4 linked regions of the Caenorhabditis elegans genome follow. The protein of the gene in region 2 interacts with the protein of the main gene of each other region in a pairwise test. Each region holds a gene or a part of one and is shown on either strand. Other genes may lie near its edges.

Region 1 (9,247 bases), 1.9 Mb from region 2:
TTCAGAAAAATTAAATTTTTTGTAAAAAATTCAAAAAAAAAATGTTTTTTCCAAATTTTTTCTGAAAATTTTATTTCCAGACTGTCCGGCTCCAACAACAGGAGCAATTGGCTCAGCAGCATCACCAGCACCAGCAGCAGCATGCTCAATCGGAGCTCCAACAAGTTCAGCAAGTGCTCATCGAGCAACAGCAGCTTAACCAGGTTCGGAACTTGAAAATTTTCAGATTTTTAGAGTTTTTAGCTGTAAAAGTCGGTGTTTAGCTCGCTGAGAGCTTTAAAATGAGCCCCATATCGACTAAGTTTGGAGAACATTCAGGATTTTGGGTCTCACCACGAAAATTCCTTGGATTACTGTAGCTAAATGAAATTTCCTGAAAGTTCCACTAAGAAATTCGAATTTCCCGTCATTTTTCACACCCGGATCCTGTTTTCTAGAGCTTTACCACAAATATTAAAGAAATTGTGCATTTTTTCGTAAGATCCTCCGTGTTTGCGTATTTTCGGGGCTACAGTACCCCGAAAATTGAAATTTTGAGCTAGCAGCACGGGAAACCAGGATTTCGGAGTGAAAAGTGACGGAGAATCCGAATTTGATAGTGAAAATTTCTGAAAATCAATAAAAATCCTGAAAAATTGAATTTCTTCAAAATATCAATGATTTTTCTCGTAATTTTTCGAAAATTTCATTGTCAAATTTGAATTTCCCGCCATTTTTCACCCCGGGAACCTATTTTCTAGAGTTTTACCTTAAAATTTAAAGTAACTGTGCATTTTGTCGTAAGAAATTTGGTGCTTGCGTATTTTCGGGCCTACAGTACCCCGAAAAATTTAAATTTTAGCTCAGAACCCCGGAAAAAAAGTATTCAGTGGTAACAAGTGACGGAGAATCCGAATTTAACAATGAAAATCTTCAAAAATCAATAAAAATCCCGGAAAAAATCAATTTCTTAAAAATATTGATTTTTCTGTGATTTTTTTGAAAATATTGCTGTCAAATTTGAATTTCCCGTCATTTTTTACCCCGGGATTCTATTTTCTAGGGCTTTAACTCGGAATGTAAAGAAACTGTGCATTTTGTCGTAAGAAATTCGGTGTTTGCGTATTTTTGGTGCTACCGTACCCCAAAGAATTCAAAATTTTAGCTAGAAACCCAGAAAACCACGATTTAGAGGTAAAAAGTTACGGAGAATCCGAATTTAGCAGTAAAAATCTCCAAAAATCAATAATTTCCCCGAAAATTTACAATTTTTTTCCAGAATTCCCGCAAACGCAAGCAATCTCCACAAGCTCACTGGAGCGACGTTGATAATGTGGAGAATCTGGAGAATCAGGCGACCGCCGCACAACAAATTCCGGCAAAAAAACCGCGCTGGAATTCGGTGGAGCAAGAGCCCGAGCCCGAGGCTCCGCTGGAAGCCGTCGAGCAGCAGCAACAGAAGCAGCCGACAACTGACGGGCAGCACCTGCCGGATATTGTCAAAAATATTGGAGGATTCGAGATTCGTGTCATTCGAAGTCACGACCCGTCGCGCAGAATCTACACTTATTGATTTTTCCCGCCGCCGAAAAATCGAAAAAATCGATAATTTATTAATTTCTCTTGAAAAATCTCCCAAAAATCAATAATTTTACGACATTTTTCATCGATTTTCCCCCTGCGATTGTAATATTTCCCAATTTTTTACATTGTATTAAAAAATGCCAAAAAAACAATATTTTATTGATTTTTTTTTTCAACGATTTTTCAAAGTTTTTCCCGAAAAAAAAAACGAATGTATTAATAATTGTACAAAAATGTTTCCATTCCCCCCCCCCCCCCTGAGCCATTTTTATCAACGTTTTACCCAATTTTTCCACAATTTTCCACTTTTTCCTGAAAATTATCGATTTTTGTGTCATTTTTGTGATCTCTCGCGATTTCTATACAATACATATCTCGACCCCACGACTTTTTTTGTAATAAATTATTATTAATTCGCAAAAATTTGAATTTCCTTGGGTCTCACCACGATTATGGAGAATTTTAAGTTGCAAATTCGAATTCTCCGTAACTTTTTACCTCTAAATCGTGGTTTTCTGGGTTTCTAGCTAAAATTTTGAGTTCTTTGGGGTACGGTAGCACCAAAAATACGCAAACACCGAATTTCTTACGACAAAATGCACAGTTTCTTTACATTCCGAGTTAAAGCCCTAGAAAATGGGACCCCGAGCTAAAAAATGACGGGAAATTCAAATTTGACAGCAATATTTTCAAAAAAATCACAGAAAAATCAATATTTTTAAGAAATTGATTTTTTCCGGGATTTTTATTGATTTTTGAAGATTTTCATTGTTAAATTCGGATTCTCCGTCACTTTTTACCACTGAATACTTTTTTTCCGGGGTTCTGAGCTAAAATTTAAATTTTTCGGGGTACTGTAGGCCCGAAAATACGCAAGCACCAAATTTCTTACGACAAAATGCACAGTTACTCTAAATTTTAAGGTAAAACTCTAGAAAATAGGTTCCCCGGGTGAAAAATGGCGGGAAATTCAAATTTGACAATGAAATTTTCGAAAAATTACGAGAAAAATCGATATTTCGAAGAAATTCAATTTTTTCGGGGGCCCGATTTTTGGAGCCTGAACATTGAAATTTGGAAAGTTGTGCATTACCCCGAGAAAATCAAATTTTGAGCTAGAAGATCGGGAAAAATGGTTTAAGAGGTAAAAAATGCAGGAAAATTCGAATTTCTTGGAAATTTTACTTGAAATTTGATAATTGTGGGCGAAATAGAACGTTTTGAAGCTTTTTGTGTAGTTTTTTTTCGGTTTTCATTCAAAACTGTAAATTTTCGATCAATAATATGAATTCTACGTCTCTTTTCACTCCGGAAACCCAATTTCCAAAGCTCAGCTACCAAATCCTGAGAAGCTGTGCATTTTGTCGTAGGAGCTGCGGCGGTGTTTGCGTACTTTTGGCGCTACCGTACTCAGAGAAAATCAAAAGTTGAGCTAGAGACTCGGCAAAAAATGTGAATAGTGGGAAATTATGCGAGGATTTCGTTTTTGAAGTTGGTTTTCCAAAAAAAAAATTGATTTTTCGGAAAAAAATTTTCCAAAAAAAAAATTTTTTTTTTACAAAATATTGTTTTCCCCGCCGGGGTAACCAGAAATGAAAGCCGTAGAGGGAGAAAAATGAAGAAAGTGACCTTGAAAGTCCCTTTCTGCCATACAAAAAACGCTCCCCTAACCAGCTGCCCCCACACACACAACTTATTCCGAGGCACACGAGAGAGTACACACAATCAAAGAGACGCAGAAATGCGGCAATTTCGAGTGTTGGGGGCGATGAAGACGGCGGAGACCATTCATTTTTGCCATCTGATCACTTTTCCGATTTTTTCTAAATTTTTTTTTTTGACAAAAGTTTTATACAACTCGGTAAATAATTTTTGTACGTAGGCTTACTTTGAGGTCTTATAACTTTGGACTCAAATGAACTGTCAAATTTTAAAGTAAATTGCCTGAAAGATAAAGTTTTAACGCAAATTTTGGTAAAATTTCACCAAAATTCATTTGGTAGTTTTTGAGAAATTTAGGTTTTAATTGAGAAAATAAAAATGTTGAAAATTTTTTTTTTTAATTTTTAAATTTTTTTTTTTTGCATTTTCCAAAAGTTTAAATCAAAAATTTGATATTTTCTGAAAGAAAAATAAAAATATATTTAACGCTAATTCTGACAAAATGTCAAGCAATTTGCACAATTATTCTTTGAGATACTACAGTTTTACCGAAGAAATTTCATTTTTCAGTAAATTTTTCAAAAATTTAAAATTTAAATGGGTTTTCTGAAACTTTAGGGCAATAACACATTTTTTACAATAAAATTTTTTTAAAAAAACAATGAAAAGTACATATTTGTCAAGTTAGAAAATTTGAATTTTCACCAAAATTTTTTTTTAAACTTTTTTGAAATTTTTTTTTAATCCTTGAAAAAAATTTAAAAAGTTCAAAAAAATGTCTTTTCATCAGAAAATTTAATTTTTATTACAATTTGGTTATGTATATACTTTTATTAATATAAATTTATTGATATCCTCAACAGATATATGCTTTCAAAGGTTGAACTGGACATGGTGCATCGATCAAAAACTTGGACAGCTTATATCTCAGTTGTCATTGTTTTTATCAAAAAATCGATAACTAATAAAATGTTCATTATGAACTTCTCTATAACTTTGTAGTTGAGCACTTTTCCATATCTCCAAAATTAACAGAGATACTAGCCGTCAAAGTTAGAGTTAGACATGTTGCATCGACCTTTCCTAACTTTGACAGCCCATAACTCGGTTAATATTGAGCCAAAGGTTGTAAACTGACAAAATGTTCATCATGTTTTTCTCTATAACTTTGTTGTTTAACATTTCTCCCTACCTTTAATATTAACCGAGATATAAGCTTTTAAAATTTAATAGTACATTTTTCAGAATGTCCGACTCCCCGCAGAGCTGCAAAAAGCCGCGAACTCGGAAAGAAACTATTCAAAAGCGAGAAACACGAAGTAAGCATGAAAAACGACGAAGGGAAGAGATGAATGAAGTGATTTGTGAAATGTCGACACTTTTGCCCGAAGATATTCGGGCTCATAAGCTGCGAAGAGTGGATCAGAAGCCTCGTCAGCTGGACAAATGCTTTATCATTGGGAGTACTGTTGATATTATTCGGAATAGTGATTATAGTGAGTCTACAGATTCAAATTAGTAATAATATTCTAATTTGGAATTTTTTTTTAATTTTGAAAAAATTTGGAAAAAAATTTGAAAAAAAATTTCGAAAATTTTTTCTTTTTTTTTTGCAAATTTTTTTCCTAAATTTTCGATTTTCAAAGCTTTTTTCTTTGTTTTTTACTCTAAAACTCGGTAAAACAACTCTATTTCCTCCCGAGAAAAATATAAATTCAACCTATTACAGTAACCCTGATCCGTTTCGTGGCGGGACCCAAAATTTCAAATTACCTTCAAACCAAGGCATGTTGGGTGTCATTTTAAAGCAATCATTGAGCTAAACTCAAATTTGAAAGCCATTAAGCTGAAAATCTCGAAATTTTCGGAATTTTCAGTCAATTTCAATTTCCTCCATTTTCCAGAACCACCGCTGCTCTCCGACCCGCTCGTCCAGGATATTTTCAGCCTGACCAACTGTTTTATGGTTTTTCTGAACAATTTTATTGTCGTGGATATTAAGGGAGACCATCAGGCAGTTTTTGATATTGAAAAAGTTTGTTTTATTGATTTTTTTTCGATTTAAAAAAAAATTCAAAAAGCCATTAAATGGGCAGAGTTACAGGCCTCTGAAAATAATTGTTAGGCTTAGGTGTAGGCTTAGGCGTAGGCTTAGGCTTAGGCTTCAAACATTTTTTTGGGATTAGGCTTAGGCTCAGGCTTAGGCTTAGGCTTAGGCTTAAGCGTAGGCTTAGGCTTAGGTTTAGGATTAGGCCTAGGCTTAGGCTTGGGCTTAGGCATAGGCTTATTAGAAAAAATGGGAAAAAAAATTCTCAAAACATTTTTTTTGGAATTTAATTTTGTAAAATTTTCCAAATTTTGTCCCAGACGGGCGTGACAATCAAATGCACACTTTTTTAGTTGACAACTTTTTGCTAACCCTTAAATGGTAGCAACCTTTAAGCTTCAGTAACTCCGCCCATTTATTGGCTATCAAAAAATTTTCAACCGACAAAAGCTTCACCATGAAAAAAAATCTGCAAATTTTTTCAGTTGACAATTTTTTTCTAGCTTTTCTAGATTTGAAGATATTTGAGTTTATTTTTTTGAAAAAAAAAAATCCCAAAATTTTTTTTGTGGGATTTCATCTTTTTATAATTTTTAATTTTCCAAATTTTTTCCCATACAGGCGTCCCCAATTAAATGTTCCTTGTAAACAAAATGTCGTCATATTTTCGGGGAAATATTATCAAGGTCACTTTTTCCCAAAAAAAATTCGATTTTTTCGGACTGTGTGTCAGCTGACTTGTTTCAAGGTGAACTGGTGGTGGACCGGGGGTGGGGGGGGGGGGATTTGGTGAATCATTGGGATTTTTTCGGTTGGAAAATGTTTTATAACATTTTAGATAGTATAAAAATTTAGAAAGTTTTCGAAAAAAGTTTCAAAAAAAATTTTTTTTTTTGGACTTTTTCTGAAAAATTTTTTTTTTTTTGTTAAACTAAATTTTTTTAAAGTTAGAAATTCTAGAAATAAGTTGTAAACTAACAATTTTTGTCAAAATTTTTGCAAAAGATTTGAATTTTTCGCTAGTTGATAACTTTTTAGTAACCATTAAATGGGCGTAGCTGCTGCCTTCCGTAACTCCGCCCATTTCATGGTTATCAAAAAGTTTTCAACTAACAAAATGTTCATTTTGAAATTCTACACACTTTTTTAGTTAACAACTTTTTAATAGCTGTTTTAGTTTTTGAGATATTTAAAAAAGAAAAAAAAATTTTTTAATGAAATTTTTTTTTTCAGAAACGTATGATTGGAAAAGATATCCGATGTTTTCTGGACTACGATTCAACGTCCAAACTGTCATTTCTCACTTCCAAAGAAATGCTCAATGAGCTCCAACTCAAAAGCTTCATGGCGAAGTCAATGACGTGCAGAATAAAGGAATCGGCGGAGGTTTGGGATTAAAATGTTTTTTTCAATTCGAACAATTCGAAAAATTTAGCTTTAAAACTAATTTATTTGAATTTGGCGTGTAAATAGCTTTTGAATGACACCCATCATGCCTAGGTTCCCGCAATTTTGGGGGAATTTTCCGGGTCCCGCCACGAAAACTGGCAGGGTTACTGTAGTTTTGAATGAAACTAACTTTTTCAATTTTTTTCAAAAAAGTGTGATCACTGAGCTAACTTTGAAGAAAAAAATTAAGAAAAAATAGTGAAAACTAAGAAAGTTACAGATTTTCGAAAATTTGTGAAAAAAAATTTTTTTAAACAAAATTTTTTACCAAAAAAAACTTATTTTGTCAATTTTTTTTTAGCTGAGAATCACAATTTTACTCTCAGCAACCCAGAAAACCTGCAAAACCTGGTAAAACCAGTAAAAACAACCAAACTACAGTAACCCAGAAAGTTTTCGCGGCGGGACCCGAAATTTTAATCATTCACGGAATATAGGCATGATGGGCCTTATTTTGAAGCTCTGGACGTGCTTAATTTGAAAATGTACGAGTTTTGGCTCAAAATCGTGATTTTAACCAAAAAAATTAGTTGTTAAAAAATTGAAAAAATTTTTTTTTCCAAAATTTCAAAAATTCCTAGAAATTTTTAAAAATCAAAATTTTTCCAGAAACCCACGGAAACAGTTTTAGTCTGTGTGCCTGATGAGCTTCCAGCTCTCCCGGTTACTGTACCCAAGGCTCCGCCCATTTTAGCTTCGCCCCTTCAGAAGACACCGCCCCCGCCGTCGAGTTTGGAGGTGAAAAGCCCGATTTTGGCGGCACTTTTGAGGCGAAAAGAGGATAATTGTGTGAAAGTGGTAAGTTATTAATAAGAATTAATAGTTTGGCGGGAAATTTCAAACTTTTTGAGAAAAAAAAAATTGAAATTTTTTTTTTCGGAACTTTTTTTTCTAAAAAATTATTTAACACTATTTGTTGAATTCCAGAGCTCCCCAAGCTCCTTCCTCTCGCCGGGCTCCTCCACCTCGTCTACAGTACCCAATGTGAAACCTACAGTAACCCGCCGACCTACAGTACCCACAAAACGGAAGAGACTACGATCGATGAATGTTATAGTGGAAAGTTATCCGTTGGATGATGAGAAGTCGGATGGAAATTCACAAAAATCGGCGAAAATTGGGAAAAAGAGGTTTTTTCTAACAAAAAAAAACGTTAAAACCTACAGTAATCTACTCCAAAATCCATGCGAGACCCTTAAAACTGAAAATTTCAAATTTAGCTCAACAAGACCTTTCAAATGACCCCCATCATGCCCGGGTTCAAATTTTCACAAATTTATTCAAAAGTTGGGTCCCGTCACGTGGGGTACTGTAGCACTGGTTTCAGCTGTGTCAGTGACATAATTTCGGAGTTTTTCCGAAGCTCTAAGCGTGCGAAAGTTAAAAATGTTAATAAAATTCTTAACATGTAAGATTTTATTGATTTTTTCAAAAAAAAAAAATTTTCTAATTTTTCTGAAAAAACTTGCAAAACTATGTAAATTTTCAGCCAAACTAGCACTATTCCAACTCCGAGAAGCACTTTGAGCCCAACTACAGTAATCCATCCGTCCACGTCACTAATTCAACCGATTCCGACACTTGGAATGAACCCATTTGACATGTTATCACCTGGTTATCAAGATGTATGTGAAAATTATCGATTTTTAATGGTAAAATCAATAAATCATCGCTAAAAACTAGTTTTTATCAATAGAGCGCACTTGCAACACGGTTTTAATTCAAATTATCGACTTTTCAACTACAGCTACTATCAATTTTCCAGATTTGGCTCCGACTACAAAGTGAGCGACTTCTGCTGGAAAAACGAATTTCAGCGAAAGAAGGGGAGCTGAAAAACCTGATGCAATTCGTTCAAAACCCCCCGTTTTTGAATTTCCCCCAATATATGCTCCCGCAAGGGCCACTTGGTGCTCAAAATCAATAGTTATGGGTTTAAATGAATAAAATAAATATTTATTTACAAAATTTGATTATTATCGACGGGAATTTGTTTAAAATACTGCAAAATATACTGGGAAATTTCCGGAAAAATCATTTCGAAGTTAATTATCATTTGAAAAACCGCCGAAAACTGTGAATGCGCAAGGAGAGGTTGCTGGCGCATTTCTCTTGTTGCTTGCGCACTCTGCGATGAAATTAATTTATTTTATTTTTTCATCATTTTCGTTGGGTTTTCATCATTTTTCAGCGATTTTTTTGCAATTTTTTTCAAAATTCCCATCAAATCTATAGTTTTTCTCACAGGAAATGGACTCGGCCGACCCTCAACTCAATCGATTCCTCCAGCAACTGCAGGCGGAGACGCAGCGTCAAAAATTCACCGAACAAGTGCACACGCTCACCGGTCGCTGCTGGGATGTGTGCTTCGCCGACTACCGTCCGCCAAGCAAGATGGACGGCAAGACTCAGACCTGTATTCAGGTAAAAATTTGGGAAAATTTGGCAATTTTCTGCAATTTTATGGGAAAATTGAAGAAAAAATTTAAAAAATCCAATTTTTTTCCGTTTCAGAACTGCGTAAAC
Region 2 (6,898 bases):
CACCGAGGAACGTGAAGGTGGATTCCCATTCAAGAAGGACGTCGGATTCGATTTGACCATTGTCAACGAAGAATATTCCATTCAAATCTTCATCAATCGCGAACGCTTCGGAACTTTCCAGCACCGTACCCAGAATCCAATTGGTGACTACATTGGACTCAGAATTGATGGAGAGGTTGAGGTCACTGGTATTGAGTTTTCGCATTAAATTTCGCGTTTTCTGGGAAATAATTGCATAATGTATAACAATTAATATGTAAATTAAATAATCTTCTTGCTTTTTTAAAAATAAATTCGAATTGATTTTTATTTGTATGTATTAACATTACTTATATATTGAAAAATTCAGTTCGTCTGTCCATAGTTTGTAGTCTATGTAGTCTTTGTAGTCTGCAAAGTTTTGAAGGGATATTGGTTAAGGGTTAGGGGGGAGATATGGTCAGGGTACTGTAGTAGTACTGTAGGAACAGGGAGCTGTAGTACTGTAGAAGTACTGTATGAATGCTGTAGGAGTATTGTAGTTTGGAAAAAAATTGAGTTATTTATATGCCTGAAATTGGGTTTTTTTGATTGAACTGGAAGCTCCTGGCATCTAGAAAATTTTTTTAATTAAATTCTGAAAGCGCTTACAATTTGAAACAAGTCCCCGACGAAACAGTTTCAAAAAAGTTCATTTTAAGGCAGATACTAATTTTCAAAGTTATTAAAATTAACAAAATCACCCAATAAAAAATGTGGTGACAACTTCGAGACAATGTGTTGTTTAGCGTAAAATACAAAAAAAGTCGTGCGTTGAATGAGAATAAAAAAGCGTTTTGTGCGTTTGGCACAGTACCAGCTCCCCTTTTCGTATCTCACCTTTTCGCAGATCCCCTTTTTGCAGATCCCCTTTTCGTTCTGCTCCCCTTTTCGTGGGGCCTCATCTATTTTTTCGTCTGTCAATCTATTTTTTCGTCTGTCAATCTATTTTTTCGTCTGTCAATCTATTTTTTCGTCTGTCAATCTATTTTTCGTCTGCCAATCTATTTTTTCGTCTGTCAATCTATTTTTAGTCTGTCAATCTATTTTTCGTCTGTCAATCTATTTTTAGTCTGTCAATCTATTTTTCGTCTGTCAATCTATTTTTCGTCTGTCAATCTATTTTTCGTCTGTCAATCTATTTTTCGTCTGTCAATCTATTTTTTCGTCTGTCAATCTATTTTTTCGTCTGTCAATCTATTTTTCGTCTGTCAATCTATTTTTTGTCTGTCAAGTCGTATATTAATTTTTAATTTTTAAAAATTATCAAGATCACCCAATAAAAAATGTGGTTATTTATATGCCTGTAGGTCAGTTTTTTTATTGAACTGGAAGCTTCTGGGAAATAGAACAATTTTGTGATTAAATTCTGAAAGCACTTAAAACTTGAAAAAATCTTTTATTTAAATACTAGTACTGGTACGAACAGTACAGAACAAAAAATAATTATTATTAAAATCTATTAAAGATCCTCCAAAAGATAACTGCATCTAGGTTGATTATCCAAGTCGTCAGCTTCAGTTTGAGCATCTTCTTGATATTTTCCCTGGTCCTCCATCATTTCATTTTGCTTCTTCTGTTCATTCACATTTCTCTCGATCGATTGCACTCGATTCACAATCGGCTTCTGGATACCAAGAGCAAATGTGGCACGAGTCAGAACAAATGCACTATTTTGATTCAAGGATTGAGTCATTGCAGATTGTTTCAGATTGATAGCACCGGCAATTATGTCATCACAGAATTGAGAAATGAAGCCGCTTCGCTTGATTTGAGACCAGAAACTCATTGGATCTGGAATCATTTGGAAGTTTATTTGATAGGTAGAGGCAGTGAAACTCGAAAATATGCAAAAACTCCTTACCATTTTGCAGACAACTGTAAATATCCTGAGCTGGGCTGCACACAGGTCTTTCTGGAGCTGGGGATCTTGTTGAGAAAGCTGGCTGGAAGAACTCTTCAAAAACAAGCTGATCTTCTGATTCAACAAAGTTGATTTCCAGCTTTGCCTTGTTTTTCTTGCCTGCTGGACGCCCACGACCTCTTTTCTTGACTGAAAAAATAGGATTTCCTTAAAATTAAATGCACCATGATTTTTAAAATATTACTTGGCTCTTCACTAATTTGTCCACTACTTTGCTCCGTTGGCTCAGATGCATCATCTCCGGAAGCTAGAACATCTTCGAGGTGACGTTTGTTAACTGGAGCTCTGCCCGTTGAGTTCATGTAGTTGCGACTTTGGCACTGTCCATGACAGATACTCTTGTGATTATAGAAATCGATGGTTTTGTTCTCCAATAGTGTTCTGAAATTTAATGAATTAAAACTGGAACGTTAAGAATTAAACGTGGCTAGCAGTCCCAAGCAAAAGGTTACGATTAAGCCCAAACCTAAGCCTAGCACATAACCTAAAACCGAGGCCTAAGCCTAAGCATACGCCTGAGCCTAAACCAAAGCATACAATTTATTGATCTTTCTGCACTCACCTCAAGCTAACATTCTCCACACGAATACACGCCTTCCAGTCTTTCTGTCGCCCTTTTCCACCAAGTTCCGTAAATTGTTTCGGAGTCAGATACTGTGCTGAAATTCCAGAATAAATTCATTCTCTCACATTATAAAAGCCACCATACATTCATATTCGATGCAAGCCTGACGAATTCCGGGGCACCTGAACAATTTGAGATGCATAATTCCTTTGACATATCCACAGGTAACCGGCACCGTGGTGGCATTTAGAGGTACAATTGGTGTCCAGATATGTTCAGATGGAGTATCCAGGTAAGTATAGCTGAGTTCCGATGCTTGCTGTAATATTTATTTGTTATTTTCGAATTGCTAATTGGAGCCAAAATGGCATTTTTCGTATCTCAGACAGCAATGTAGGTGCATTTGAAGTTTTCAAACTAAATTGAAGATTTTTTTCGAGCCAAAAAAGTATTTCCGAGACTAACAAGACTATTTCAATTTTTGGAAGAATTGTTTCCAAAAAAATTGTCTCAAAATTTCACATCCCAACTCACATCATACATATTCTCCTGAACGCGTCTCCCGTCTATCTCGAAATTTGGATCACTTGGAACCAGCATCTCTTCGTTTTTCATCTCACTGGTTGATCCGAACTCGGGTTGAGTAGAGAATTCGAAATCATCGTCGTCACACATTTTTCAGGTAATCGATGAATAAAGATGGGCGACCCGACGCGACACGATAATTTCTGACACGCAACTAGTTTTCCGCCAGCTTGGATCTGTTGGCTTCTCGCGTGTTTTTGAATATTTTTAAAATAAATTAATGATTTTTTTTTTGAAAAGTTAAGGCATTTCAATGATCAAAAATATCATTTATACTGGAAAAATTGCAGAGAAAAATCCAAAAAGTATTGTGGTATCGTAAGCCTTACTAGGGACAAACAATATGATTATTAAAATAGATGACTGCAGAAAAATTAGTTTCGGAAGAGCATTTTGAACTAGCAAAAAAATGTTTTTCATAAGAGTTTTTTTAAGTTCTTGCGAGGCCCGGTAATTTGCATGGAAGCTTTTTTTTTGAAAAAAAAATCAGCTTCTAAAATTGTTTACCCAACTAAATTCAAAAATTTCCAGATTTTTTTCCAGTACGTTTGTTGTGAAGAATTACACAGAATTCAAAAAAATGCTCTGCAAAATTATTTGAAATGGGATTTTTTCTGAAACATCCGGTGTTAAACATTTTTACTATTTTTCTGTTACACAGGGTAAATCATCCTCCACGCCATCCCATTACAATGAGCACTGTATTTGAGCATATCCACATTCCATTAAAAGTGGTGGGTGACCCGGACTTGTACTTTTACTTTTTGAAACCGCAATTCAATGATCTAAATACCCATGAGAGGCCCGATAATGAAGGTGATTTTATACTTTTTAACGAACAACGATTACCTCATTCGTCATATGACTGGAGCCTGGAGCTAGCTACAATTTTTACATTTAAAATGTTTTTTTTTGTTTTGAAAATTAACTGTTTGCTTGTTTTTTTTCATGTGCAGTGGAGAAACATCTGGAATTAATTTTTAGATATATTTTTATGTTCTAGCTAAGATATGATTTTTTTAATTTTAAAATATTAATGGGTGAATAGGGGAATACCTATTCAATGAATTGCGGCTGTGCATGAAAAATCGCGAAGTGGAAGTTATATATTTTAAAATTTATGAAATTTCCTAAATTTTCAAAATTGTTAATTGAGCAGGCGACATTGATTGTGGGCTCCATCTCGGCATATCCAGGGTACTTACGCAATACTGGCTAGTTTATTGTAATGGTACGGTACAGTAGCGTTACTAAAGCAAGCTCTTCTTGTTTTTTGACTGAAATACTACAGTTAGGATCCACGCCCAAAAAAACTGAAACTCTTTTTTTGCTCATTCCCAGTATCAAAAGTAACAAACTTTAATATGATAGTATCTTATTTTGTTTTTGTTCAAATAGATGGTTGATATCGTAAAAGCGATAGTGGGAATGCTTGTTTTTCAAGTTTTAGTTTCGAATTTGGTTGTTACAAAACTAAGGTATGATAAAGATGTTCTGCTTTACTTTTTTGGCCAAAAAAGTATCAAAAAAAAGTTTGAAACACAGATTCCCACCACTTTCAGCCTGTCTTAGAACAAATTCCATTTTCTCTTGCTGATAAGCTGTCTATGAGAGAGACACTATTTACATTACCTCAATATACTTGCCATAATGTTACTTGGTTTTGAAACTTAATGAATCATAATACGTTTATTGTTGCATTGAGTCCCCCCTTTCAAACAGGCGGTCCCCCCTACCTTATGTGTCCCTCCCCACCAGCCGAACCTCCAATCGTCTACAACTCCATTCAACTTTTCTTCGTCCATCTCTCTGTCTTATCGCATTTGTCCTCTATATGAGACACACTTATCATAAATTGGTGGGCGACACACAGACACTTTCAATTGTCACTATTTCGGACACGTCTCGCGATGTTTCATTGGAGCTCATTGCGCGTTGTTTTTAGAGTTCCGGTGTAGAGTGTGACATTATAGTTAGATGAAATTCAAATCCACGAGTTGTAAAGTTGTCCCATGTTTTGGACAAATGTAAAGCCACCCAAAGCTTTTCAAGTTAGAAAGTTTCAAAAAGTTGCTGAAAAACTGCTACAGAATCGCAATATGCCGAGTGTCATGTGTAACTCGGCACGTTGGTATTTGAGACAGTTTTTGAGCAACTTTTCAAATCGTTCAATAAAACATGAAATTATTTCTAGAGAGCACAAAAATGAATCTCTATATCTATATAAATTTCCAGAACAAAACTTCTGCTCAACAATGAGCAAAAAATTAATTTTGTAAATGTTTCCAAAGTGCCAAAAAATGAGCCGCGCATCTCTACCGGGCTGCTCGCTTTCAGCATTGTGAGGCTTTCTTCAAATGAACAGAACTCCAAAACTAAAAGACATGGATAAAAACTTTAAATGACGATCATATTGCCAAAGGTTTTGTCTATAGTTTTGTAGTCAGCGAAATTTTGCCTACTCTGCTCTGAAAAAAGATTGAGTGGCCGACATTTGGCGGGATTATTTTTTGAATAAAGTTTTGAAAGAGTCAAGAAAGTGGAAATTGGTAAATTCAAGCACTGTTTTTAAAACCTCCTAAATTACTTTTATGTTTATAAAATATCATAAAAATAATAGACTCTGAAAACGGATTTTCCAATTCAAAGTGCTTTTCTTCTGCTTGATTTTTTTTGTTGTTGAACGATTTATTTAAAAGACTCTATTCCAAATGGAACAGGTTATCTTTTTGAGTAATTTCTTAAATTATTGATTTCGCTCAAAATGTGGCTCTGTATCTAATTAGAAACCGTCATACATTACGCAATCTGTCATTTGAACTTTTTTTATGCATTCCTGTTAGAGTTGACGGAAAAGTTGAATGTTATGAAATGGCTGCATTTGAAAAAATTTCAGTTTTCCCATAGCATCTTTCTGATCTTTTCAGACCCATTATTAAACAATTCAGAAACATTGTAGCCTTAATTATCCCTGACTCATTTCCAATTAAAATTTGCAAAATAACATTCCTCAAATCACGAGTCTTTTTTGTTGTTTCTAAAATCACCATCGTAGTCTCTTTAATTCATTAAAAAACTTTCAGAAGTCAAATGGGAATGACGAGTATGACGTCAACGAATAAACGGAAAGCGTGTGTCATCGACAATCTGCTAGAGGTAAATTTGAAATCCCCATGTCTCATTTTACTTTTGGGGGCTCATTAAAAATAGCGGAGCTCATTGCTCTCTTTTATTGGAGAGGGGCGCCGCTTTGATGTGTTATAGTATGTCACCATCCTTTATTACCATATTTGCGCATGATGACAGACCCGGAGATGTGATGTAGTCAAAATATATTTGAAAGTGGAAAGGTTTTTTTTTGAGCGTAACGTTTTTTGAATGGTTTGAAAATGTTATGGAAACATACAACCGGGGTATTGGAGAATTGGGGAAAGTAAAGTTGAAATATTATGCACGCCTGCCTACACCTACAAGCGGGTCTACTGAACCTTTCTTTTCAGTCTAACTGCAAACAATATAGTCGAGATTTGAATGTAAAATTTCAGAGGATAGAAGGTACCTAGGCAGGTGAGCCGTAGGTAAGAAGGTACGTATGTAAATACAAAAATAGCATTTAGACACAAAAACTTGCCTGCCTATAATGCCTACTCTACAAAATACATTTAAAATGGCAGTAAATTTTAACTCATAATATTCTAGTATAATATTCTAGTTTTGCTCATCTTTGAAAGTTCATATCTCGGTTATTTTCAGACATATCAAAAAAAGTGTCAACTGTCAGCTAAAACCTTACGGGCTAGAGTGTA
Region 3 (7,402 bases), on a different chromosome or scaffold from region 2:
AAAATGTGAAGTTTTTCGAGTTTTTTACTGTAAAAACACAAATTTTCACGCCGAAAACCTCGAAAATTTGATGAAATTTTCGCTAATTTCCAGCAAAAAGTCAAAAAATCTGAAGTCGAAAATTAACATTTTCAGACAAATTTTTGAGTTCCACACTTTTAGGGAAAAAAATGGCAAAAAATCGATGAAAACGATGAAATTTCATGTAAAAATTCTCGGAAAAATCCGAAAATTATCACAATTTTCTCAAATTTAGTCAATTTTCAGCAAAAAATTACAGCATTTCTAGCTTATTTTCAGTCATTTTCTTGATTTTAGGGGCAATTTCTGTGATATTTCTCAGTTTTCCAATGGGTTTTCATCAAAATTAGAGCGATTTCGAGTAATTTTTAGCCATTTTTGTCACTTTTTCAGCCAATTTTCAGTCAAAAATAGAGATATTTGGCTCAATTTTTTCCAAGTTTTCGTTAACTTTTAGCAAAAATCGGGCAATTTTAAGGCACATTTTGCTGATTTTGCCGAATTCTTTGCACTTTTTCACAATTTTCCGGCAATTTTCAGTCAAAATACAAAATTTCAGAGGCATTTCAAGCAATTTTAAGCCAGTTTTAACGATTTTTGAACAATTTTGAGCCTTTTTTGTTCAAAATCAAAGCGTTTTGGCTCATTTTTTCCAAATTTTCTCAATTTTCAAGGAGTTTTCGTCAATTCAAAAAAAAAAAGTTCACACAAAAATATGACAATCTTAAGACGATTTTGGCTAATTTTAGCGAATTCAATGCGCTTTTTCTCAAATTCAAAACAATTTTTAGTCAAAATACGATTGATTTTTAGGGACATTTAAGCCATTTTTAGCAATTTCTAGACAATTTTCAACCAAAAAAAAACATAGTTTTCATTTTGGCTCCATTTTTTTTCCAAATTTTCTGCATTTTTACCTCCAAATCGCGCCGTTTCCACGCATCTTCCATCTTTTTCACTCCGACAGCAATCCGCTTCTCTCCCCATTTCGACGGTGAGAATAACGGTGCATTTTTGCTGCTCGGTGAGCCCGTGTCTTTTTTCAAAAATTTGTCCATAGTTCCATTATTTTTCTCCTTTTTCTCAGCTTTTCGTGCCGCTTTTTCCTCTTTTTCCTTCAATTTTTCCTCTTTTTCTTTCAGTTTTTTCGCCTTTTCCTCTTCTTTTTTCTGCTTCTTCTCTTCCTGTTCTTTCTGCTTTTTCTCCAGTTTTTCCTTCTCTTTTTCATCTTTTTCCTTCTGTTTTTCTTGTAAACGGCGGCTCGAGAGGATCACAGGGCCTCCAGATGCTCGCGGAGCTCCACGTGGAGTTTTCTGCAAAAATTTTCGGTTTTTTCACAAGTTTCAACAGAAAGTTCTCAGAAAATTGGAAATTTCGCATGATTTTTGTCAATTTTTACATTAAAAAATTATATTTTCTAACAGTTTTTGGTGAAAATTGGCACAATTTTGGCGATTTTTGCGAGATTTTAGTCAATTTTTCACTGTAAAATGTGGTTTTTTTCTCGATTTTTCACAAAATGTATCCAATTTTTCTCGTTTTTTCAGAAATTTACAAATAAAAATCCCATTTTTCCTCATTTTTTACTATGAAAAATGGCGTTTTTCTCAATTTCTCAGTCGAAAAATCTAATTTCTCACAAATTTTGTCAATTTTAAAGCTAAAAATCATCGGAATTTAGTTGATCTCTGTCAAAATCACGATTTTTTCACTGTTTTATTCAATTTTTTAGGAAAAATCCTAATTTTTCTGTATTTTTACTACGAAAAATCGAGCTTTGACTACAAAAATAGCGTTTCTGTCAATTTTTCAGCTGAAAATCTACTTTTTTTTTCAATTTTCAGCTAACATCCTGATTTTTCTTTACTTTTCCTCTCCGAAAAATCAGATTTTTCTCTCAATTTTCCAGCTAAAAATCGAAATTTTCCCGTACCATAGCACTTTTATTTGCAGCTTCTGCTCCACTTTCAGCATCCATTGACACCTCTTGTACATCTGAATCATCGGCTTCTGCCGCCACACTGAGCTGAGCAGTTTTCGGCGTAGATTTCCGATTTGCTGAGAATATTGGAGCATATTTTTTAATTTCACGAATCGGATTCTCGGCGAGCAGTTCTTCCCGGACTTTCCACTGCTTTTCATCCACAAATTCAGCATCTTCAATGGCGATTTTCTTGATTTCTTCCACTGATAGACCCTTTTTTCGTCTGAAAATTGAGGGAAAATTAGGGTTTTTTCTCTAAAATTTTGGATTTTTCTTCATAAAAAGTGTAATTTCCACTTATTTTTGAGACAATTTAAGCGCCAAATTGTGAAATTTCACACAATTTTCATCCAAAATTACATCTTTGAACTTTTTCAGACTCTTTTTAAACGGATTTTTGAAAAAAAAAATTGCAGTTTTTTACACTTTTCACCGCAAAATCAAATTTTTGTGGACATTTTGTCTGGAAAATCGAATTTTTGAACGAAAAAACTAATTTTCCATAAATTTTCACTGGAAATTTCGGGTTTTCGAGGAAATTTTAATGAATTTTCTGGGATTTTTAGTGCAAAAATGGCCATTTTTCGTAATTTCGCCCACTGAGAGACCCTTTTTTGGCTGAAAATTGACATTTTTCAAATTTTTTATAGCAAAAATGAAAAATTTCAGCATTTTTTATGTGAAATTATTATATTTTAAAGCATTTTCCGTCCAAAAATCTCGAATTTTATGAGTTTTTAATCAAAAAACATGAAAATTTTTGGATTTTTCATGCAAAAATGTTGAAAATTACGCATTTTTGCAGCTATTTTGTGGATTTACTTTATATTTCACTTAAAAAGGTCTAAAATTGGCTGAAAAACACGATTTCAGCGTATTTACCGGTTAAAAAATTGGGATATTCTCGATTTTTCAATGAAAAAAACCCCATTTTTGCTCAGGAAAGATCTAAAAATCCGTTTTTCAATTCAAAAAATGACCTAAAAATGATAATTTTGAAGTAAAAATCGTGGGAAATGAATTAAAAAATCAATTTTTTGTTATTTTTCGGTTAAAATAAGCAATTTTTCATGAAAACCTGTAACTTTAGTGGTTTTTTTTTTGGGTGAAAAATGAAGAAAAAATGCGGAATTTTCAAATTTGTTGCATGAAAAATCTGAAAATTTAACGATTTTAGTCATTTTTGGCCTAAAACTCCGATTTATAAGCGAAATTCAACGGTTTTTCGCCACATTTTTCCACCGAAAACCATGCAATTCCATCAATTTTCACCTCAAATCGCGATGTCCAATTTTGGTGCCGTCCTCCATTGTGTAAAGTGTGAGCCCACCGCGTTTTTCACTGGAAACCACTGTATATTCTTTGCCAGAGCTCATTAATTTCTCTCCGGCAAAGAATTTCTCATCAATTAGGTCTTCAATTTCGTCGAGAAGGTCATCTTCTGATAAATTGCCTGAAAATTGGGGGATTTTTCCGCGAAAAATCTAGTTTTCTAGCGAAAATTTGGAGATTTTTGATGAAAAATCCACAATTTCTGGGTTTTTCACTCACTATTGTGAACTTTCGAGTAAACTTCAATGGCGAGTGGCTTTGGGAGGCGGGAGACGGCTGAAAAAAGAAACATTATTTTGTGGAATTTCGGGTTTCTAGGTGAAAATCGGGTGGAAATTCACGATTTTTCGGCACTAACCTGTCCCATTTTCCGACTTTTCCATTTGTTCCGTCGATTTTAGTGGTGTGGCGAGCGAAACGCTGGAAAAAGAGAGAAATTTGGCTCGAAATTCGGAGAAAAAAAGTCGAAAACGAAAAACAATTCAAATATTCGCAATGGGGCGCGCTTGCACACCCATTGGTTTTTATTGGATTTTCATGAATTTCCAGTGGTTTTTAGTGATTTTCACGGGTTTTCAATGTGAAAAATGAAGAGAACGTTGAATTTTACACCAGAAACAATAAAAAGAACTCTCAAAATTTTGGAGAATCGAGAAATAAGTTAAAAAAAAATTTATTTTTTTATTTAAAACATTTTAAATTTAAATTCACGTTTAAACTTACTCCGCAATATCATTCGAATTCGTAGCAGCCGTCATATTTCCAATTTCACTTCCAAATGATCGCTGGCTCATTTGCGAATCAACTTTTTGAATTTCCGAGTTGCAACAAGTAGTTTGTTAGTTTTTCGCACTGGAAAACTTGAATTTAAGTGACTTTAACGTAATTTACACAAAAATTTGCGCGAAAGCCGGCTATAAAGCGACAGAATTGTGAGGAATGCGAGAAAAATCGACGGACAGTGTTTGAACACCTGCGCGTTCGCGCCAATTTTTAAAAGCGCTAAACAACACGCGCGGCGGGATTTCGGAGTGTCGTAGTGCGGAAAATTTTTATTTTCGAAATTCTTTTTTTTTTTCGGTTTTTATTTTATTTTCCATAGATTTTTCGCTTTTTTCGAAGTTTTTTAAGTGAAAAAGTGAAGATTGAAGTCAAATTACTTACATAAAACGATAAATCGGCCAGAAAATAGGCAGAAAATCAGATTTTCTGGATTTTAAAACACTTTTTGAAATTAAAAATGATTAAAATTGTTCTTTTATAAAAATCCGAAGGTTTTAACGAATTTCCAGTGATTTTTCATTGTTTTCGCACACTTTAATCGTATTTTTCCCAATTTTAATCCAAAAATCCCCAATTTTTTCCAGTTTTCGATGGGTCGCGGCGAGCACAAAGAGCACAAACGAAAGCGTTCCCGTTCAAAGGAACGAAAAAGAAGCCGGAGCCGCTCGCCACGTGGCAGTCGTGAGCACCGGGAACATCGAGACAGAGATCGGGATCGGGAGAGACGCAGAGAACGAGACACTGATCGGGAGAAGACGAGAGATCGTGAAAAGCAGAGAGATGCAGAGAAAAAGAAGGAAAAAGAGAGTAAAACGGCGATTTTTGAAATGGAAGAGTCACGGAATGGTAAGGAATTGCAAAAAAAATTGGCAAAAAAAATCGATAAAAAGCCAAAAAAAGCAAATTTTTGCCTGGAAAAATCCCAATTTTCGAATTTTTGAGTTAAAACTGGGAAATTTGAACGAAATTCAGCCTAAAAATAGGATTTTAAGGTAAAAAAAAAAAACTTTTTAAACTGAAAATCGCAAAAATTAGCCGATTTTCATGCCAAAAGCATCAAAATTCAGCTATTTTTGCCGTTTTTATTTTTGCTATTTTCATGCAATTTCTAATTTTTCCGGAGAAAAAAAGCGAAATTCGGACAATTTTTGGATAGAAAAATTGAATTTTTGATTCAATTTTCGCCTTATACCGTTGAAATTCAAATTTGTCAACAGAAAGAGCCGAAAATTGTTCAAATTTAAAGGTTTTTGGTTGAAAAATTGAAGTTTAGGCGATTTTTCACCAAGAAAAGTGCGAAATTTTCGAATTTTTCATGCAAAATCCATAGAATTCTCAATTTTTTGCGAAAAAAAAACTCTAATTTTCACCCAGAAAAATGCATTTTTAAGCGATTTTTCCAATTTTCCACTGATTTGTATGGTTTTTGCAAAAAATAATGTGAATTTTATGAACTTTTCATGCAAAATCCATAGAGTTCTTACCTTTTTCCCAAGAAAACATAAAAATTTAAGCGATTTTTTTTCAATTTCCACCTAAAAAACTGAATTTCTAGACGATTTTCACCCAGAAAAGTGTGAATTTTATGTTTTTTTCGCAAGAAATAGGCCAATTTTCAACTTTTTGTTACGAAAAAACCTAACATTTTAGTGAGTTTTCTCAAATTTCACCCAAAAAATTGAATTTCCAGCCGGCTTTTACCCATAAAAGTGTGAAAAAGCCCAAATTCTCAATTTTTTGCAAAAAAACCCCTTAATTTTATCAATTTGCAGACACCGAAGAAGTTATGAAAATGAAAGAAGCCGAATTACTACAGGGAGTCGAGCGTAGGCGTCGTAATGTGGAGAAGTGGAGAGCCCAAAAGAAGAAGGAAGAGCTTGATCTACAATCTGAGCAATCTGATGAAAAATCTGAGAAAAAGCCCTGGAATCTGGAGGATGAGGATGATGAAGACGAATTTGATATCAAAAATGAGGGAATTTCAGAGGAAAACCCGGTGAAAATGGAAGAAAAAGTCGAAAAAATGGATACAGACGACGAAGAGGACCCTCTGGACGCTTTTATGAAAGAAATTGCCACTAAAAACGCCAAAAAAACCGGAAACTCCACGCAAAAAGCGTCTGGAATTGTGACAATTGTGCAGGAGGAGAAGCCGGAGCCCGAAAAGGGACAAGTGCTGGAAAATGAGGATAATATGGATATGGTTATTGATGATTTTGATATTGAGACGGCTGCAGCATCATTATGTCATAAAGGACGAATGTTGGCACAAACTGACCATTCTAAGGTCTATTATCGGAAATTCAAGAAGAATTTCTATATTGAGGTGCGGCGGGAGAAGTTGAAAATCGGGAATTTTTATATTAAAATTCGGAAAAAATCAAGAAAAATTGAAAAAAAATTATTTAAAAACCTTCCATTTTGTGGGAAATCTGGAAAGTGGACATTTTATACGAAATTGCCAAAAAATCCGATAAACCGGGTTTTTTTGAGTCCCTTAGAGGCTCTACCAATTTCTTGGTTATTTCCAATATTATCTGTGTAAAAAATATATTTCTAGCCTAAAAATCTTCAAAAATCGGAAAAATTTGATTTTCTAAGAGAAAAGTATTAAAAATACATGAAAATTCTGGAATTTTTCAGATTTGTCTATAAAATTTTGAATATTTTCGGTTGAAAACGCCAAAAATCCTGAAAATTTTCTGAAAAAACACGTTTTTCAGCTCATTTTTTCCGAAAAAATTGCCAAAACTGCAAGCAAAATAGAAAAAAAAAATACCGATTTCCAGTATGATTAGGTGTAAATTTCATGAAAATGTGACTTGTGTGTTTCTCTATCCGAATTGATGGTTTGAATAGTGGTATTCTCGGCTGAAATATGCAATAAATACCGTATTCCAACCAACAATTCGGTGCAATAGAGCACATTTGTCACCGGGGATGCGGAAGCTATGCCCAAATTTTCATTTAGCGCGGAAATTTGGCTGTTTTCGGGTGTAAAGTAGAAAATTTGGAAATTTCGACATTAAAATTTATTATAAAATTTGAAAAAAAAACCCATAAAAACCCTTTTTTCTGACAATTTTCTGTTTTTTTTAAATCCCAGTTTCCGAGGAAAGCTATAAATTTGGGTACGGTAACTCGGAATTTATGATGTTTTTTTTTAAAGCTGTAAAAACTGAAAAATTCTGCTCAATTTCCAATTTTTTGTTGAAAACCTAGTGGTTTCTTGGATTGTTCTAATTTTTTAAATCAAAATCCTGCTGAAAATTAGAATTTTTA
Region 4 (7,278 bases), on a different chromosome or scaffold from region 2:
GACAAGACGACGTGCCATCACCGGAAATGGGTCCATCAAGCAGCAACAGGAAATGTTATGCTTTCTAATCACTTTTGTGCAGTGTTATGCACATGCGCCACTTATTATTCTGATGGAAAAGCGTTAGGAAACGGAAATTTGTCATTTCAAAGACTCGAAGAAAATCGGAATATAAGAATTGTACATACATGTATTACATGTTACATTGCATGCACATCAATTTCCCAATTCTATACTTTTATTAAAGAGAGGGAGAGTTTTTCGACTGGGACCACCTGTGATTATAAATTCGCATAATCGTTCTCGTAGCTCATCGCGATACGAGTCATTAGTCTTAAGGCAGGTCAACATGCGATTCATTTCACACAGATGTTGCTATAACAAATTCAAACAATTATGAAATACGGGGCCAGGAAAGATGGCACAATTTAGGAGCTTCACAAGACAAGAAGAAATTTTGCTGGTGGTTATGATGGACTCCCCCTGAGCATTCATCAGCCTACCGTATACCTGTCTACCGGATGTCTCAATATGCTTTTATTCATGAGGCTTGCACACGCAAACAAGTGCTTTGAAATGTAAGTAAGCAATGGACAGCAGGTGTCGAATAGCGTTTTGTGGATTCAAGAAAAGATAGAAATGATAGAGGTGATAATGAATTAGTTATCACGATTACTTTTAAGTTACTCATTGAAGTTTCCAGAAAGCGGTTTTCAATACCAAAACATTTATATAGTATTCTAATATTTAGGGAGCCTATTTTGTAGTACTAGTTTGCATGGATGGTAAAACTATTTTCGGTCAGTAGTGCTTTAAACTTTTCTAGTTGTATTCCAGTTTTAATAATGGTCAAAGACCCTTTTACAATTAGTAATGGCCAAGAAAGGGTGAAACGGCCGACCAAAAAAAGCAATCTATGACTAATCGATTCACAACAATACCATTCTCTACACACCTAATTTGTCTCTTTTCTTCTCGAAAAGCTGAGAAAATGGTTTTGTGGGAAAATGTGCACTCGGTCCTTGTTAAGATGTATACATCAATGGTGATGGGTTTCTTTTGATACAACATTTCTTACGAGAACATTAGAACCTTTGATCTTTTTGCATTAAACAATAATTCAAATACTTCAATTTCACCTTCCCGCGGGACCGTTAGTATCAAATTCCACAATTCATCGATGTTGCCCTTGGATAACTTGTTGTTGTGGGGATGGAGGAAACAGGGGCTAAGAATCGAAATCTATGAGCAAGGCCTGGTTAAGCCGATTATAGTCTAGAGCAGGATGGATCAAGGCCTATTTGTCAAATGGGAAAGGGCATAATGTTCGTTCAATATTGAATATTACAAGAGCTCCGTTTTGGTTTGACAACAAAAGATAGGTGTTATTAAGTGTGATATATAAAAGAAGAACAAGTGTGACAAGTGACTCCTTCCGCTGATTTGAGGTCAGTTTTTGAAAGAAAAAATTTTCGCAACAATTTCTGTTCAAGATTCGTATGAGAGTGGGACGAAAAGATGAAAAACGGGGGAACTTTTGTCGTCTTCCAGGAAGATGCAACAATTGACAAACATCTTGGCAGGCATTGTTCCATCAAGAGCTCGGGGTTCCCTGTGTCTTATCTTCCTATCAAAGATTTCAAACACGAAAAACGGATAGGAAAAAGTGATACTACGAGTACAAACGTTAGTTCGACGGATATTTTCAACACGTTCAAAATGGTGATATTTGTGGAATCGTTTCTCAAGGTGTCACACACTCTACTTACCATCAATTAACGAGACAATAGATAATCAAATAATGTCGGGGCAGGTGACAGGTTAGCAATAGTTGAACACCTAATAGAACATACGTCTCATGGCTTTGTTCCGTGTATCCGGGGCGCCGGTGACAACTGGCTCTTGTGGCGGCTGAACCTCGAAACAACGGTGCTCTTTTTCTCTCGATGTCACACTTTTTGAGAAACTGAGAAACTTTTCGTGCAATACAATGGAGCTCTCATTGCACTTTTAGTTTGGGACAAAAAATGTTGATAGGCTTGACGAGCGATGAGACACTGGGACAGTGGGACAGCGCAGATGTTTGATGAGCAGGAATGATGTTCGATTGTAGTGTTTTGCGAAGAATTGTTGTGTGATAAGTTTATGAAAAAAAAGTTAAGTCTCATGCACAACAAATAAGAAAGATTTCAAAAAAAGGTAAATCAAATATATTAGGTCTCCAAATAAGTTCTGGGTCAAAAATCATAACTTTGTTCGCTGTGTATCGATTTTCATGAAACTCTGGGAATTTATGTTATCAACTATAATCTTTCATTTAACAATAGTCACGAAATTTTTTGACCGCCCCAAGTGTCCTAACTCGGAGCCAATTTTTTCAGGCATTTTTCTGATCTCGCTTATTTTCAGCTTTGAATTGAGGGTTGTGTGCGGATTTTTCTTTGTTTAGAATACATTATTAGAAAACAACAAAAGTTTTGAAAAAATCCGTCCAAAAAAATTTTTTTTGGTTGGTCGTCAAAAAATCTTCAAAAAAATTTTTTGTCGAAAATTCTAGATTTTTCCTACAAAAATGATGTAACCATGAACCTCAATTGAAATTTGAAAAGAAGCGAGATCAGAAAAATGCCTGAAAAAATTGGTTCCGAGTTAGGGCACTTGGGGTGGTCAAAAAATTTTGTGACTATTGTCAAATGAAAGATCATAGTTGATAACATGAATTCCCAAAGTTTCATAAAAATCGATACGCAGCGAACAAAGTTATGACTTTTGACCCGGAACTTATTTGGAGACCTAATATACCACCAAATATTTCTCTACAGTGTGCCCAACGTCTATAGCACCACCCCACTAATTTGAGAGTTTGGTGTTTTTGAAAATATTTTTTGAAAAGGTGTTAGTACAGTTCAATAGAAAATGTTGAAAACCTATGGTCCTTGATTTTCACAACTTATATCTCAAAGTTTAGTTCGAAATTTTAACAATAAACGAGAAAATTATGAGGAGCCGAGAACTGGCCCCTGTCAAAAAATCCGATGAGTGCTATAGAAGTTGGATGAATGTTTTTTTTACAAAATTTTTACTTAATTTTCAGGTATCATCATAAAACTGGGGGAGCATATCCTTTGCAGCATTTGCTATCAAACTGTGCTGACGTTTTTTTCTGAAAATAATTTGGAAGCACCAAACTCCCAGATTAGAAAAGGGATGATATAGACGTTAGTTGTAATGTATTAGTCTTGTACTCTCATTGCTTTACTTTGACAGCTTCTATCTCGGTTGGCAAATTATGTGCAAAATGTTTTTGTACATTTCAACAGTAAATAATTTTTTGGTAAAACTTAAGAAGACTGATATACGAGGTAAATCCATTGGGGTGCAAGTTTAATACGGAAAATGCGGTTTTTAACTACAATCAAGTATGTCAATGATCACTCGCATGTTTCTCCCTTGAAGCTCAAGCTGAATAGAGTATGGTTTCAATAGATTCTCAATAGAGTATTCAAAAGAAATAATTGACATATACACCCTACCAAAACTGCAAACACAAGAGCAAGGATAATTCATCATCGAGATCTCCAATTATCCCTTACAGTCTGTCAAGAATACATGAATATTTGATAAGGTAAAGTATGGAAGAAGAAGGATAACACAAAGGATAGATAGAAAAGAAGAAAAAACAATTATTTATGGAATTGGCAGTGCCCATAGGAGGCACATGATGATAAACTCGGAGTTAGCTAGGATATTAAAGGGATCATGAGCAGTGACGGGTGCGGCGATTTGGCCTACTATTATTATGATCAACAACGGCACACGACAAGGAGAAAATAAGACTAGACAAAGTAATAATTCTTTGAAATCTGTCACCAAATCTGGAAGTGTTGCTCTTGCTCCAAATGCGCAAATATAGGCAAAAGTGTGAGAAAAGTAAAGTTGGTGAGGAAGAGAATACTTACCAGATGCTTGCTGGTGCAAATACTTGTTCTACTTGTTTTGTTATTTCAATGAAAAAGCAAAACAGTGCTCACAACATTAAAAGGGGAAAGAGCATGGCACAGTAGAAACTAGAACGGAAACTAGTTCTTACTCACCACTATAGAGCCATTCGGGAGATTGTTGTTACTGATCCAGCAGTATTATGGAGTATTGATTTTATTTGGAGTGTCTGGAATTTTAAATTTGCGTTTGTAAATTCAAGCCTGAAGAAAACATTGAAAAAGAAGAATCAAAAGCGTTAGAAATTGAAACTAGAGAAACTTAAAAAGGCCGATTATTTGAGTTCAGTGGCATTATTAATTCAAACGATTCACACGCGCTGAATGAATTGTGAATTATGAAGGAGAACAAAGATATTGCACAGATATATATCAGAAATTCCTTTTCTTCAATTGAGGATAGTCTCACGATTTGTCCTTTGAGGGTAAGAAGAAAAAGAAAAGAGAAAAGGTTCAAGTGAATAAAAGATGGGGGCAAAATGGAAAAATGAGAAAAAAAATGTTTGGTTGAAAGTAGAAAGCAACACTTAGAGAAACATAAGTTCAGTAGTCAAACAGAAAATATAACTAGTTGTCCCACAAGGAAGCCTATGGTATTAATTTTTTGTTTTGGACTGTTCACGAAATTTCATTGGTCACTAGTTTCAGACATGGTGACCCAATTGAACTGGCAATTTCAGACAACAAACTTTGAACCAAGAGAAGAAGAGAGAGGGAGAAAACAGGAAAAAGCTGGTATTGGTTGTCTAGGTGATTGGAAGAGGGAACTGGTATCAGACAAGTGGTTCAAGGTAGTTGTGTTCCATCACACAATGAAGAGAATGAAAGAGAGTGACCACCCCACCTGAAAACAAAACTGACCACGCAATTTGTTTGTCCTCTGAATCGTCTCACAATAAGTTACACACTGTGCCCTCTTCTCTGCAAAGTGGGTGGTGGTGGTGTGTTGTCGGAGAGACACGGTGGGGACCCGCGCTTCTTCAGAACTGGATGTGTTGACCAATGGCGCAAAAGTTTTCCAAAGAACGCGAAATGGTAATAGGTCGAGAACCACTTGCAACAATTCCATAATGTTTCTTTTAGTTGACACAATGCACCTACTCAACCTCGTTTCGAAGATTCGGAAATGCATTTATGATAGACTAAGAGGGCATCGCAATACGAGGACGGGAATCAATCATAATGTATTTTAGGTGGACATTTTAGCTTTTGACAGTAAAGAATATTGAAACACACTGAAATTGTATTTCAATATAGCCTAGAAATTTTAAGTAGGCCAAAAAGTTCTAACTATAGTGAGAGGTTATGACATCTAGGAACTTGGAATATTAAAAAAAATCTTAGTTACTACATACAACAAAATCCTAGAGTATACGAACTCTTATATAAGTCTATATAAAATAAGGTCAAAAGGCTATCACAAATGAAACCGTAAAGATACGGTTTTCTAGTTCAAGAATATACAGAGTCGCCCATAATTATGGCGACCACTTTGCAGTAACTCAACGTTTCTGTTTTTGGAACGAGATATTAAAACAAGTGAACTTACACAGTTATTAACCACCCTGAATAACTAGGTAAATTAAATAGGTTTGCATATTTAGAATTGTTAAAAACACAAGAACTGAAAAAACACATCGAAATGTTAAAATTTTAGATCTATGCTTGAACTTGAATTTGAGATTGAGACATTTAGTATTCCGATTTTCTAAGCAAACTCAAATACTGTTGCACAACGCGTGATGTGACTAATGTTTATGTTCTTACAAGTTGATATGAAAAATTACTATTGGAGGTTTTTCTTATGTCTCATAGCTGGCAAAATTATCGCTCCCTGATAAATTCAAGATTTATGACATTCATAACTCAAAAAGAACATACTTTTAAGGTTTTTACTCCAAAAATCAGAACTTACCAATTTTTTTACAGGTTGTGCTAGTTTGGCTATGAGTCTAGAGGATATAAGAGCCTATAATGCTAATGAAATACCACAAATGTAAAATGAAAAACTTTTAACAACAGCTCTAGGGTTATGGTGAACTGTCTTGGAGCATGAAAATGCTCGATGTTAGCAGAAGAGATTGTTATATTCATTAGTAAGGAACACACTATAAATCAAATTTAGTTGGAAGGTACCTATTACAAAGTTCATTACTACATCAACAGCTAGTATGTTTCAAGTACCATTGGCCAAATCGGTGGCAGTGACCCAAATCGCTGAAACTCCATCAATCGGAGTACAAAAGATATATATTCAGCGCCACACCCATAGGTAGACCTTGTATGTATGCAGATCCGAAAAAATCCATGCTTGTTCATTTGCCTCCCACCGGTTAATCTATTTCTTTCCCTGAGAAAGGCCGGCTTTGCCTTCTTTTGCCTGCTTTTCCTTCTCAATTTTGCCGCCCATTGTACCCGTGTTACGCAAAAGCGGATGACCATTGCGGCAAATGCATACAAACACAGGAGGTAGTGTCAAAATAATTTGCGATTTGCCTTTTTGCCTCCCCCCACCATCTCCTCATTTCTCCCTCATTCATCGTCTTTATTATTGACACTCGGAACCTGTTTGATTTGATTTGCCACTGGTCACTACCGTACGGATGGCATATAACTGTATTTGGAGATGACGATTAGCGCGACTGGAATGAATAGACAAAAAACACACGCGGAGAAAAGCCAAATGAAGAGGTGAACTGGGTACCGACGACGGCGGCGTCGATTGGTGATGGTACCCGTGCGGCACTCTAGAAAAAAATAGCCGAAAAGAGATTTAGAGAACTTGCTTCTTCCTCCTTTCCTGAATGGCATGCTGATGGCGCAACCGATCGAAAGAAGCGTCTTAAAAACTAATAGAGACAATAGATTTATAGAGACTTCAAGATACCACTATATTTTATCTGATCCTTTTTTTAAGTTGTCGTACAGGATAACACTTATCTGGACATTAAAGGGCTAAAACTTAGGGATGCAGGTGGCTCGAAAGAAAAAAAAAGTTACCGTACATAAGAAACAAATAAGTGTTGGAACTGATTTGAAGATAAGCGCAATTGGTCAACGAAGACAGAAAAGTACAAGAATTGGGAGGTATTTCAGCAGTTTACAGCGTAAAACATGAATAGACAGTATAGAAAGCGGAAGCGCAAACAGTTGCTATTAGTTTGATACAAATGTTTTGAAAACTGGTATGTTCGGTGAGTTTTAGGATGCAAAGTTGGAAATGTTGTGTGTTTGGAATCATTTTGATATTTAAAATTTGGAATTATATAGTCCAAAATTA

Evidence for each region.
Region 1: the proteins of gmeb-3 (region 2) and hlh-33 interact in a two-hybrid assay, tested with the Caenorhabditis elegans proteins (one large-scale study listed by BioGRID).
Region 3: the proteins of gmeb-3 (region 2) and F53H1.4 interact in a two-hybrid assay, tested with the Caenorhabditis elegans proteins (one large-scale study listed by BioGRID).
Region 4: the proteins of gmeb-3 (region 2) and egl-13 interact in a two-hybrid assay, tested with the Caenorhabditis elegans proteins (one large-scale study listed by BioGRID).

The regions. Positions count from the first base shown.
Region 1 is NC_003281.10:1,850,922-1,860,168, forward strand, and holds hlh-33 (BHLH domain-containing protein), read left to right. Parts: upstream 1-4,470; 5' UTR 4,471-4,471; coding exon 4,472-4,721; intron 4,722-5,129; coding exon 5,130-5,260; intron 5,261-6,505; coding exon 6,506-6,658; intron 6,659-7,330; coding exon 7,331-7,519; intron 7,520-7,648; coding exon 7,649-7,851; intron 7,852-8,210; coding exon 8,211-8,346; intron 8,347-8,486; coding exon 8,487-8,648; 3' UTR 8,649-8,682; downstream 8,683-9,247. Other genes in the region: pqn-82 (Prion-like-(Q/N-rich)-domain-bearing protein), read left to right, coding at 81-203, 1,259-1,552; ddp-1 (Mitochondrial import inner membrane translocase subunit Tim8), read left to right, coding at 8,972-9,145, 9,236-9,247.
Region 2 is NC_003281.10:3,764,832-3,771,729, reverse strand, and holds gmeb-3 (SAND domain-containing protein), read right to left. Parts: upstream 3,231-6,898; 5' UTR 3,183-3,230; coding exon 3,042-3,182; intron 2,827-3,041; coding exon 2,652-2,826; intron 2,602-2,651; coding exon 2,505-2,601; intron 2,324-2,504; coding exon 2,127-2,323; intron 2,072-2,126; coding exon 1,883-2,071; intron 1,813-1,882; coding exon 1,481-1,812; 3' UTR 1,402-1,480; downstream 1-1,401. Other genes in the region: lec-4 (Galectin), read left to right, coding at 1-208; C44F1.1 (uncharacterized protein), read left to right, coding at 6,183-6,248.
Region 3 is NC_003282.8:1,306,953-1,314,354, reverse strand, and holds the start of F53H1.4 (PHD-type domain-containing protein), read right to left. Parts: upstream 4,190-7,402; 5' UTR 4,132-4,189; coding exon 4,061-4,131; intron 3,758-4,060; coding exon 3,696-3,757; intron 3,614-3,695; coding exon 3,557-3,613; intron 3,459-3,556; coding exon 3,278-3,458; intron 2,229-3,277; coding exon 1,955-2,228; intron 1,335-1,954; coding exon 939-1,334; intron 1-938. Other genes in the region: ddx-46 (RNA helicase), read left to right, coding at 4,711-4,966, 5,893-6,446.
Region 4 is NC_003284.9:5,660,727-5,668,004, reverse strand, and holds the start of egl-13 (Transcription factor egl-13), read right to left. Parts: upstream 4,169-7,278; 5' UTR 4,095-4,168; intron 3,641-4,094; exon of another isoform or gene 3,501-3,640; intron 1,518-3,500; exon of another isoform or gene 1,325-1,517; intron 157-1,324; exon of another isoform or gene 12-156; intron 1-11.